2 linked regions of the Arabidopsis thaliana genome follow. The protein of the gene in region 1 interacts with the protein of each later gene in a pairwise test. Each region holds a gene or a part of one and is shown on either strand. Other genes may lie near its edges. The genes, in order: PLDGAMMA1 and PIP2A.

What was found.
Region 2: the proteins of PLDGAMMA1 (region 1) and PIP2A come close enough for resonance energy transfer, tested with the Arabidopsis thaliana proteins (one study listed by BioGRID).

The regions. Positions count from the first base shown.
Region 1 is NC_003075.7:7,128,213-7,135,616, reverse strand, and holds PLDGAMMA1 (phospholipase D gamma 1), read left to right. Parts: upstream 1-2,231; 5' UTR 2,232-2,679; coding exon 2,680-3,642; intron 3,643-3,919; coding exon 3,920-4,036; intron 4,037-4,125; coding exon 4,126-4,320; intron 4,321-4,409; coding exon 4,410-4,658; intron 4,659-4,764; coding exon 4,765-4,833; intron 4,834-4,908; coding exon 4,909-5,056; intron 5,057-5,134; coding exon 5,135-5,283; intron 5,284-5,363; coding exon 5,364-5,558; intron 5,559-5,645; coding exon 5,646-5,843; intron 5,844-5,971; coding exon 5,972-6,265; 3' UTR 6,266-6,494; downstream 6,495-7,404. Other genes in the region: AT4G11860 (FAM63A-like protein (DUF544)), read left to right, coding at 25-106, 193-273, 407-520, 615-664, 799-919, 1,285-1,380. UniProt on the Arabidopsis thaliana protein: Hydrolyzes glycerol-phospholipids at the terminal phosphodiesteric bond to generate phosphatidic acids (PA).
Region 2 is NC_003074.8:19,802,752-19,807,921, reverse strand, and holds PIP2A (plasma membrane intrinsic protein 2A), read left to right. Parts: upstream 1-2,191; 5' UTR 2,192-2,467; coding exon 2,468-2,774; intron 2,775-3,242; coding exon 3,243-3,538; intron 3,539-3,665; coding exon 3,666-3,806; intron 3,807-3,896; coding exon 3,897-4,016; 3' UTR 4,017-4,449; downstream 4,450-5,170. UniProt on the Arabidopsis thaliana protein: Water channel required to facilitate the transport of water across cell membrane. Probably involved in root water uptake. Its function is impaired by Hg(2+).

The sequences.
Region 1 (7,404 bases):
TTGATTATTGATCATATCTTACAGACTCTTTCGCTTGCAAGAAGGCCTCAAAGAACGTGAACTCTGTGTTTTTTTCCGGAACAATCATTTCTGCACCATGTTCAAGGTTTGTTTAGTTTGCGGTTATTTCCATCTTTGAATTGCAACAGGTTAATCCCAACTAAATTCTTCTTGTTGCTGTCATATTTTCAGTATGAAGGTGAACTTTATCTTTTGGCTACAGATCAAGGTTACCTGAATCAGCCTGATTTGGTTTGGGAAAAACTAAACGAGGTATCAGCAAAAGTTACTTACTCACCATTTGTCTTATCTGCTAATTTTGGCTTCTTAGGAGATATCTCTATATCCACAATCTCTTTAGAGCTATGGCTGTTGTGACCACTATTGACATGCAATCTGGTTTCAGGTTAATGGTGACACTGCATTCATGACTGCTACCTTCAAGGACTTCACGATCGACAGCAGCACAGGTGGTGCAAGTGGCACATGGGATGAACGAAACGCAGTCACAAATACTGCTGTATGTTCTCCTCATAATATAGTCACTAATCCACATTAGATCTCCTTCTTTTACCTTTTTAATCATTTTTTTTCTTTTGGTTCTCCCTACACAGGATTATCTTGCCAGCATCAACAATGTAGCGGATGCAGGCATAGATGTCAAGTAAATATTTCATACCTTTCTTTGACCACTAACCCATTGGTTCTCACCAGAGACACATTTATGCATTTGTTATAACTGTCCTCTTAAAAACATATTTATGATTGTTTAATTTTAATTCCCATGGTACTATGCAGTTCTGATCTGCAACTAGCAATAGCTTTGCAACAACAAGAGTTTGAGGACCAGAGCCCACGTAGTAACCCAACTCCACAACCAACTAGCGTTGCTGCCTCACGATTGGTCACTGGTCCACAGGTATTTCATTCCTACTCATAACACTATATTCTTAAAAAGCAGGAATCGACACAAATGGTTAACAATGATTATAAGAAAAGGTAAATTACCGTGTGACCTGCACATTGCAACAATATACAACACTGATTATTAAAATAGTAAGAGAGTATAGCCTTAACAAGCACATCTGCAAGTCCTGTTTAGTACATTTGTTTTCTGTCCATATACTTTACCGACTAAGATGAGTTTACAAGTACCAATTGCGAGTGTAAAACATCGATAATGATCATACACCGTAATCAGAAGCTCATTGAATATAATGCAGCCTTGCTTCTTGTGGTGTTTGGATGAATGTTAATGATCAGATATTGTACTGACCATTGCAGGTACCAAGGAGCAGCCACAGGCCATCATCAGCTGCGTCTTCGAGACACGACGGCAAATCCCCTAAAGATAAAGATAGCAAATGTAGAATCATGTAAATCCTCATTTCACTTATGTAAATTTCCAACTTTTTCTTATTCCCTAACTAATTTTAATCCTTAAAAGCTTTTTGGTTTTAACAAAAAATAAACTGTAATTGCGCTTTGACTAAACTATTTTTTGTTGCTCATAAAAAATCAGAGCTTTTCTTTATCCTTTTGAGAAGTGGGAGACGAATTAGAGTTTGTGTTCACGTTTTGGCTTTCGTTCTGTTAAGTTACTCTGATCGCCGTTACTTTTTTGACGGAGTAACGGCTATTGTCCGTGATGCCTTTTATAATAATTCTGCTTAGCCGGCTCGGTTTGACTAATCGCCAACTTTTTCAAGTTGTAATCGGAGAATGTGATTATTAATCCCTAATTAAAATACTTTTTATCTGCATTAGCTAATCATTTTGACTAGTTATAAACTTAAAATAATAAATAAATTATATCCTAATCCCTCAATTCGAATTTCAAACTAGTTTGTATTTCTTTACAAGTTCAACTTTTTTCTTTTCACTATAAGATAATGATGTGCTAAGACCACGACTGATAGATAATATGAATCCACTAGAGCTGTTGAAAATTATAGTTCAAAATTGAGGAAGACTTCAACAATGAAAATGTCTTCTCCATTGAAGAAAATGTCTTGATTTATTATTCAATACGCAATTATATGGTTTAATTTAGTGATTTTTCGAATGTTTACTTCTTGTTGATAATAAATATTAAATAGTAATATGATTTCATTTCAAGAAAATGTCATGCTTAATTATTACTTACACTATTAAGTCGAATGTTTAATTTCTAGTTGATATATAAAAATAGTAACATCACCACTCAAATGAAGTTGCATCAAAAGAGGGACCAGAGAGAAAGAGTTTCGTGAGCAGCCAACAACCAAAGTGGAAGTCCTCTTAGTCGTCGTTACTAAAAACAAATAATTTATTAGTTTAATTGAAGATTAATTTGTGTTATTAATGGCTAAAGTTAGAACGATTCAACAACGGCAGCCAATATCTTTAAAATGTTCCGATTCTTCCGTTTCAAGTCAACGTTCCCTTCGTTTCCTCCCACCTTCTTCTTCACAAAAATCTGAGATTTCATATAAATTTGCCCATATTTTTAGATCTCCATTTGATCTGAGTTTGTATTATCACAAAGTTTTATCTTCTTTTTTTTCACTCTTCAGTCTTGATCTCTCGATTATTGCCCACCAAGTGATCGATCTTTTGTCTCACTGAACTCGGTTACGCTTGAGATTTGATCTAACAGCTGAAAGTTTCTGACTTTTTGGGTTTTTGATTTCGATTTTCATGGCGTATCATCCGGCTTATACTGAGACTATGTCTATGGGAGGAGGGTCAAGCCATGGGGGCGGCCAGCAATACGTGCCGTTTGCTACGAGTAGTGGCTCTTTGAGGGTCGAATTGTTACATGGTAACTTAGACATTTGGGTTAAGGAAGCTAAACATCTTCCTAATATGGATGGTTTCCATAACAGACTTGGTGGGATGTTGTCTGGGTTAGGTCGGAAGAAAGTGGAAGGTGAGAAGTCTTCTAAGATCACTAGTGATCCTTATGTTACTGTCTCTATCTCTGGTGCTGTGATTGGTAGAACTTTTGTTATTAGCAATAGTGAGAATCCTGTGTGGATGCAGCATTTTGATGTACCGGTTGCTCATAGTGCTGCTGAAGTACATTTTGTTGTGAAAGATAGTGATATTATTGGATCACAGATCATGGGAGCTGTTGGAATCCCAACGGAGCAGCTGTGTTCGGGGAATAGGATCGAAGGGCTCTTTCCGATACTTAATAGTAGTGGGAAGCCTTGTAAACAAGGTGCTGTGTTGGGTTTGTCTATTCAATACACTCCAATGGAAAGAATGAGACTTTACCAAATGGGTGTTGGTTCTGGTAATGAGTGTGTAGGAGTTCCCGGTACATACTTCCCTTTGAGGAAAGGCGGTAGGGTTACTCTGTATCAGGATGCTCATGTTGATGACGGTACTCTTCCGAGTGTACATCTTGATGGTGGGATTCAGTATAGACATGGAAAGTGCTGGGAGGATATGGCTGATGCAATAAGGCAGGCAAGAAGGTTGATTTATATCACAGGTTGGTCAGTTTTCCATCCGGTTAGGCTGGTTCGTCGTACCAATGATCCCACCGAAGGTACATTAGGGGAGTTGCTTAAAGTCAAATCTCAAGAAGGTGTTAGAGTGTTGGTTTTGGTGTGGGACGATCCAACGTCAAGGAGTCTTCTGGGATTCAAAACAGTAAGAATCTACATAACTCTGTTGTTGCTTCTCTGTTTGCGTGAATGCTGAGTTAAAAAAATATGCAGGTTTAATACTATGTTCTTAATTTTTCGCATAGGTTTTTCTCTGTGTTTCTATTTAATCCGGCTAATGTTCCGTATCCAAAATAGATCCACGCTACTGTCTATCTTGTTGGAAAGCATGAGTTTGCTTCAGTTAGATCGTTTTACATGTCTGTACTAACTGAAGCAATGATCCTTCTATCGTTTTAATGAAAGCTTTTGTTTTGTTGTAGCAAGGAGTTATGAACACAAGCGATGAGGAGACTCGCCGTTTTTTCAAGCATTCGTCGGTGCAAGTTCTCCTTTGTCCCAGATCTGGAGGGAAAGGTCACAGCTTCATAAAAAAATCTGTAAGATGCTCATTAGTTACTGCTTACTGCTTAAACTCCCGTGTGTATAGTTTCATCATCTGAAATTTGAGTGTCATTATGATGATCAGGAAGTTGGAACAATCTACACGCATCATCAAAAAACTGTGATTGTAGACGCTGAAGCAGCTCAGAACCGAAGAAAGATCGTAGCATTTGTTGGAGGGCTAGATTTGTGCAACGGACGATTTGATACTCCCAAGCATCCTCTCTTCAGGACATTAAAGACACTCCATAAAGATGACTTCCACAACCCAAATTTTGTGGTAACCATTTAAGAAAAATCCTCCTTGGTTGCAGTTTTGGAATTAAAATCGCTATTCTTGATCCATGTAAAATCTGTTTTTCTTATTAGACTACTGCGGATGATGGACCAAGAGAACCATGGCATGATCTTCACAGCAAGATTGATGGTCCAGCTGCATATGATGTACTTGCTAATTTCGAGGAACGCTGGATGAAGGCTTCAAAACCTCGCGGAATTGGGAAACTAAAATCTTCTTCTGATGATTCTTTGCTTAGGATAGACAGAATTCCTGACATCGTGGGACTTTCTGAAGCTTCTTCTGCTAATGATAATGATCCAGAGTCTTGGCATGTTCAGGTAATTTAGCAAGACTAATTATCATTGATAACTCATGAAGCATTATTTTTATTTGTGGTGGTTACAAAAGGAATCTAATTTTTGTTGCAATGATATTAATCTTTAGGTTTTCCGTTCCATTGATTCAAGTTCAGTCAAAGGGTTTCCAAAGGACCCAAAGGAAGCTACTGGAAGAGTAAGAACAACTGTGAACTGTTTTAGTTTGTCATCATGTTGCTATTCTCTGCTGACAAACTGTATTTGTGAACAGAATCTTCTATGTGGGAAGAATATTCTCATAGATATGAGCATACACGCAGCTTATGTTAAGGCCATACGATCTGCTCAGCACTTCATTTACATTGAGAACCAATATTTTCTTGGATCTTCATTCAACTGGGATTCAAACAAGGACTTGGGTAAGAAAATTGAAAGCTTTTAAAGGCAAGCTCAGTAATCAATGCGTGCAGTAATAACAAGGAGTTTTGGCATTGCAGGTGCTAATAATCTAATCCCGATGGAAATCGCGCTTAAGATTGCTAACAAAATTAGAGCAAGGGAGAAGTTTGCTGCTTATATTGTCATTCCAATGTGGCCAGAAGGTGCTCCAACAAGTAACCCTATTCAAAGAATTCTCTACTGGCAGGTAAATAATTTGTCAATTTTTTGCTAAAACAACCCTATCTTGCCGTCTTCATACCGGAAATCTTTTCATAATCTCTGCAGCACAAGACAATGCAAATGATGTATCAAACCATCTACAAGGCACTTGTGGAAGTTGGTCTTGATAGCCAGTTTGAGCCACAAGACTTTTTGAACTTTTTCTGTCTTGGAACCAGAGAAGTTCCTGTTGGAACAGTTAGCGTATATAATAGTCCTCGGAAGCCACCTCAGCCAAACGCAAATGCAAATGCTGCACAGGTATACATATATAAATTTCTTCTTTTTAAAATCTTGAGTTTCACCATAATGGCCTCGTTAACTCACTGAAACAACAAACTAATCTAGGTACAAGCTTTGAAGAGTCGAAGATTCATGATATATGTTCATTCCAAAGGTATGGTAGTGGATGATGAGTTTGTCTTAATTGGTTCCGCGAATATCAACCAGAGATCCTTGGAAGGAACTAGAGATACTGAAATCGCCATGGGAGGGTATCAGCCACACTATTCATGGGCTATGAAAGGTTCTCGTCCTCATGGTCAGGTAAATAAGACTTTCAAATACTTCTACTTTTCAATCTAGGACAGCATTCTAAGACGAAAAACTAGCAACCCACCAATGTATGTTCTCTTAAACATGTCTGAACCCTGGTTTGTCCCAATTTCTTGCAGATCTTTGGGTATAGAATGTCGTTATGGGCAGAACATCTAGGGTTTCTAGAGCAAGGTTTCGAGGAACCAGAGAACATGGAATGCGTGAGACGAGTAAGGCAATTGAGTGAGCTGAATTGGAGACAGTATGCAGCAGAGGAAGTCACAGAGATGTCAGGTCATCTTCTTAAGTATCCAGTTCAAGTTGATAGAACAGGCAAAGTGAGTTCTCTTCCTGGATGCGAGACATTCCCAGATCTGGGTGGCAAGATCATAGGATCGTTCCTTGCACTACAAGAAAACCTCACCATATGAAACTTACCTTGTAGGCTTGTAGTGATCAACATTTGTTCTTTATTTCTTCCACTTCAAGAAATCTCTCTCAGTGTGATCTGATTGAAAGTGTGCCTTTAGGGTCTAGTTGTGCTTTTCAAATTTATGAGCTGTAAATCTATTTATTACAAAATTTCAATTGATCTATCAAAGTGTGTGTTTTGGATTTTTACTATATGATTTAATTTAGTAATGTTGTCATATCTTTAGTACTATATGATTACAATATCACATTGGCTTGTAGAAAATGAAAAATGTCATCCTGAAACAGCTTTTGCTAAATCATTCATAAGATCATGCATCACAAAGCTTGTCATGAAAAAAAAGATTGAGCAAACTAAATCACCAGGTAATCATTTCCAATCTTCTGCTGCTCCTTGGTTGGTATAAGAGGTCTACTGCAATAATTCCTCCCTATCGAAAACATGGCCCTTGGGGAATACTGAGCAGAGGTCAAAGCATCGCTTAAGTTGAGGAGGAAGAGAGTCATAGCTTAGTTTAAGTAGTAACTACTGGAAGGAGTTCGCTATGTTTTCCCTCGTAACTTGTTGGAGCCAAGGAGTTGCAACAAGTCAGACAGGAAAAACTCAATACAATTATTAGAATAGGGAAGCAGATAAGGATTTGTTGACTTGCTCTTCTCTATGCAATTTGTCAGCAAATGATAATAATGTCAAGATTCTTGAGATTTTCTTCTTCCATTTGATCATGAGTAGATTCATAAGTTTGCAGACATTTTTCCGAATTTTTTTTACTTACATCCCCATTTTCTGAAAGTGTTATTACATTTTCTTGCAGTGGCCATGGAGCATTCAACGCGTCACACCATCTTTTTTCCTTTCTATCTTCTCTGATCTATCTATATTATCTCTAAAAGATTTGAGAGATGGTGTTGAATTCACCACAATTCTGCATTCCAACCTAAATCAACAGATCAAAAAAAAAAAAAAAAAAATTGAATAAAAATTATCTTTTATACAATATCTTTTTGGTCATGACATATATCCCTATTTACAAGTTTTGTTCCTTTATAAGAACTAAGAAGTGTGTGTCTTTTTTTTTTTGTGTGCAACCAGGTGTGTGTGTCTTTAGGTTAGAGTTATTTGGTATGTTAAGAGGCG
Region 2 (5,170 bases), on another chromosome or scaffold:
TTTTACTCATTTAAGTAATCGGAAATTACAATATAGAAATTTTTGATCTGTAAATATCATGTAAAGTATATATCCAATTGATTATCATTTGAATGCATATTAAATTATTAATTATGAAGACAGATAAATCAATATATGTTTGTTGATCTTGCTGTAGTACATTCTGGACTAATTCTTTCAATTGGAGTGACTAAAAAGGACAAAATTTATGCATAACGACGTCATACTATATGTAACTCGATTTGTCTAGAATATTTAGATAAGGTTAAGACTAGTTTTCTATGAATAGAAGAAAGTGTAAAATATATAAATAAACATACTAATAACAATTAACAACAGAACCAGAACCAGAAAATTCACATTTCTGTGCTTTTATTATCTAAAATTCACTTCGAAAAACATGAGAAAAAAGAGTTGGCTGACGTGGAATATTCGTCTAATAGTAGCCGACCAACGTAGCCAAAACGATAAGGTTTGCCACATGGCAAAACGATAACCATGGAACTGCATCTCCTGTCTTTTGTTTGGTTGTCACAATTTGTCATTTTTATTGGGATTTATTGTTTTGTTATATTTTCGTTTTCAGTCTAATTGTCAGCAATTTTCGCAAAAGATATGAAATTTTGGATATGAAGAGAAAATGCAAATGATTGGTGGGGACAACAAACGTGGCATTATGTGAGTGGTTGAGCGAACAAACGGCTATATGCTGAGATGGATTGGACGGTGACGATACGTTTGTCGGAGGGATCGGGTCGGTTAGTCACGCGCGCCACCCATTCACGTGTCACCTTTTGCCAACACAGACCATATGATTTTAACCTCAGTGGAATCTCGACCCACCCCACAAAACGGCACCATAACTTTACACCCTGGTTTTAGAGAGTGATATACCAACACAACAATTATGAAAAAGGGTTCGTTTAGGCTTTGGTTACTTTATGTTAGTAATATCAACTTAAATGCTAATTTGAGTTATGTGTGATAAGATATACGACGAATCAATTTACTTATCGTCAATTAAGTTTGAAATGAAAGTTTGTGAACGAAATAGTTTATGCTTCTTTAATATTGTGTCATAATTTTGAGTTCCGGCTCTAACATCTTCAAGTAGGGTTTTGTTTTATGACACCTCAAACATACTTAATAACATATGTTGGTGATAGAAAACTAGACCTTCTAGACTACAAAAATGTTTATAATGTAAGAGAATGACCATATATCTATCTATTTTGAAAACAAAGTGTTTTGACTTTGGTGAACAAGAAAAATGTTCTCTATATATACAATGAGACACTCGAATATAACCATGCATGATTAGTTGGATTTGGAGTGAAGAAACTTAGCCATGCTTCGTTGGAGCAAAATAAGGTTTTGGAGTTTTGTTATGTGTTTTCAAGAATGTAAATGCTGATTCGATAAAAAAAAAAAGTGGACGTAAGTTATTTTAAAATGATTTGGCATACAAAAACTGTGGCTTTTTAAATCTGAAAAATCGACAGGCTATGATATTATACGACAAAAAGAAGAGAGCACCATATTGATGATATAGTATATTGGGTCGGTCCTAAAGAAAATGACATTTAGGTGATGGGGGCGGCGAGGCTAAGTTAAAGTAAACAAAAAAAACCTCCATTATTTACCAGAAAAACATATAAAAATTTGATTGACATAAAAACTAATAAATTATTTCAAAGTTGTGGTTCTGATAGCTCTCCACCATCACCACTGATTGATACTTCCTATTGCTACGAGAGATAAAACTATGCAAGTTTATATGAGTGGATATAAAGTCTTGTTTTATGATATCATAAGCTAGCTAATCCCATATCATTATCATGTATTTATAGACGCATGTTCAATAGATTTGGATCAATCTTTTTGTCATGGACTTGGTGCAAACTATAACGTTAAATAGAATAAACTATTCTAATTTAGGATCTAAAATAAACTCGAATCAAATTTTAAAGAAATTTACTGGCTAACTTATTTGAATTTTTCAAATTTCAACGATTGAAAAACTCTAAGTCTGAAATTAAACTAGGGTTCTTGTCTTTACGTATTAGTAACTATGTATGATATTGATATATCAAGCAATCATTAAATAGAATTGGTTCAAAATTTATTTCAGGACAGCTAGTTCATAATCATTTTGTCAAAGCTACTTCCCTCATAATAATAATAATCATAACTCACTCGTATACTTTTATATCCAATTTTTTCATTGAAAATACAAACTTTCATTCCAAAAAAAAACCTCAATACACAAAAAACCAAAAAAACATATAACGTTGGCAAAAATACTAAAAATATTTTTTAAAAGATAAAGCAATAAAAAAGTATACAAACAAATTAACAAGAAGGAGAGCTCTCACTATAAAACAGAGCACATGTTCTTCTCACTAACCACTCCAACAGAGAAGCAAAAGAAAAAAAAGCTATTGTTTGAAAGAAGAAGAAGTTAACTATGGCAAAGGATGTGGAAGCCGTTCCCGGAGAAGGATTTCAGACAAGAGACTATCAAGATCCGCCACCAGCTCCGTTTATTGATGGAGCGGAGCTAAAGAAGTGGTCTTTCTACAGAGCAGTTATCGCAGAGTTCGTAGCCACTCTCCTCTTCTTATACATCACCGTTTTGACAGTCATCGGTTACAAGATTCAGTCCGATACTGATGCCGGTGGCGTAGATTGCGGCGGAGTTGGAATCCTCGGTATCGCTTGGGCCTTTGGTGGTATGATCTTCATCCTCGTCTACTGCACCGCCGGTATCTCTGGTATGATCCTTCTTTAATCTTGATTTTGGTTTGGTTTAGATTAAGATTATACACTTTTTGAGTATTAGAATTACAATTAAACCGAATAAGCTGAATAAGTTTTACTTATGTAAGTACAACTTGCAAACTCAAAATTTAGACAAGTAAAAATTATATGGTATGGTTTTGGTTTGTTTATTCGAAATTAATTATTTTGCAAGGAAAAATATTGCTTGGTTGACATTACTATTTAATCGGTTTAAAATCTTAGGTTTAAAAGACGAAAATGATTTGTTTATAAAACATTTAATAAGGGTCATGATCAAATCGGTTCTTATCCGAATGATATATATCTAATCTAAGCCTAGTAATTATTTTAAGCAACTGACTAACCCTGTCTTAACCAGAATTGAAACCGGTTAATTAATTGCTTGTTGTACCTTAATTCTCAAGTACTGGTAACATTGTCAACTCTTTTTGTTTCCTTAGGTGGTCACATTAACCCAGCGGTGACATTTGGGCTATTCTTGGCACGTAAAGTGTCGTTACCTAGGGCCCTATTGTACATAATCGCTCAGTGTTTGGGTGCGATTTGTGGAGTTGGTTTTGTCAAAGCCTTCCAAAGCTCTTACTACACCCGTTACGGAGGTGGAGCCAACTCTCTAGCCGATGGCTACAGCACAGGGACCGGTCTAGCCGCAGAGATCATTGGTACTTTCGTTCTTGTCTACACCGTCTTCTCTGCCACTGACCCCAAACGTAGTGCCAGAGACTCCCACGTTCCGGTGAGTCACATATGTAGTGCTATTAATCTTCAATATGGTTAACCGACTCAAAACCGGAACCAAAGCAAACCAAACCAACATTTGATTTCAATCATACTAATAAATTTGAATTTTGATGAAATAAAAGGTGTTGGCGCCACTTCCAATCGGATTTGCCGTGTTCATGGTACATTTGGCTACCATTCCCATTACCGGAACCGGAATTAACCCGGCAAGGAGTTTCGGAGCTGCCGTAATCTACAACAAGAGCAAGCCATGGGATGACCACGTAAGACCTCAACGTTTCTCCATTACATTCAACTATATTTTTCATTTTTACAAGGGAATAATGTTTTGAAATTTTGGTGATTACAAACAGTGGATATTTTGGGTTGGACCATTCATTGGAGCTGCGATAGCTGCATTCTACCACCAATTCGTTCTGAGAGCTTCAGGTTCTAAGTCTCTTGGATCATTCAGAAGTGCTGCCAACGTCTAAACACATCAAACCAGATTTCTCAAGAATAAATGAAGTTGTGATCTCTCTGTACAAATCTAAATCAGTCACTTGCAGTTTTCATTTCCCTTTCTTATATTTGTGTTTTCCACTTGCTCTTTTGTGAATTTTCCTTCGGTGTAATTGTTTTTTCTTTCGCTTTTAAACGAGTGATTGGAATTATAATCAATGAAATCAAAGAGGTTCTTATGCGTTGTGTTTACATTAATACTAGTACTAAAGTTAGTTTCCTTAGAGAATAACAACACCATGGGGCCATGTTCTTGGTCTTGTTTACGTCCTCCTCAAGATGCTCAGTGAATAAGCAGGATTTTGGAGAAACACATGTCTCTGCTTTAACGCAATCATTATCTTTCTAGAAAAGACCATTCCTTTATGTCTTCATACATCTCAGGCGGATAAAGCCTAGCGTGCACCAGCAGTAAGTTTTAGTTACTCTCTGAAACCGCCATTGTCCATTAACCCCATATGCCTCAAAGGCTCACAGAAACTGTTACATTCAAGATTCAACATACTTAGTCGTTTGTTACTTGACAATTATGAATCATATAGGAAATGCTCGAACTTGGCTGAGGATTGAGAGTCTTACCCTTCAGAATCTGCATTTTTTATGAGAACGTGAAGAGGTGTGGCCGCTCAAAATTGGCCTCTTGGTGGCCTAGCCTCAGCCTCTGAGACTGCCTACCATCCAAATCCTTTAATTACGAAAGTAAAACATGTGTTAGATGTTTGATCATTTACTGTAAGAAGTACTAATCGAATAAATTGTTATGCGAAGAAGAGAAATGATGATACTACTGCACCATTCAAAGAATTGATGGAGTTTTGAACCTCTCGGGAAGAGCTGAGTGTCACAAACCCAGTAGATCAGATTTGATATCGAGAAAGTTTCTAAAGGGACCTCATACAGTAGTAAGAAAATGACGAATGTAGTGATACAATAGGCTGGGATGCTTACGAACGATTTATGTTGTTTACTCTGGAGATGCTTGGCGGACAATTCAAAGATTTGGCAAACAACATCGCATAATGTACAAGAAAAGGCATATTCACCCCATCTAATACACGTCTCCCGAAGCTTCCTCTGTTCATTAACCGTAGACGAGACCTTCCTGAACCCGTTGCATCTGTGTGGG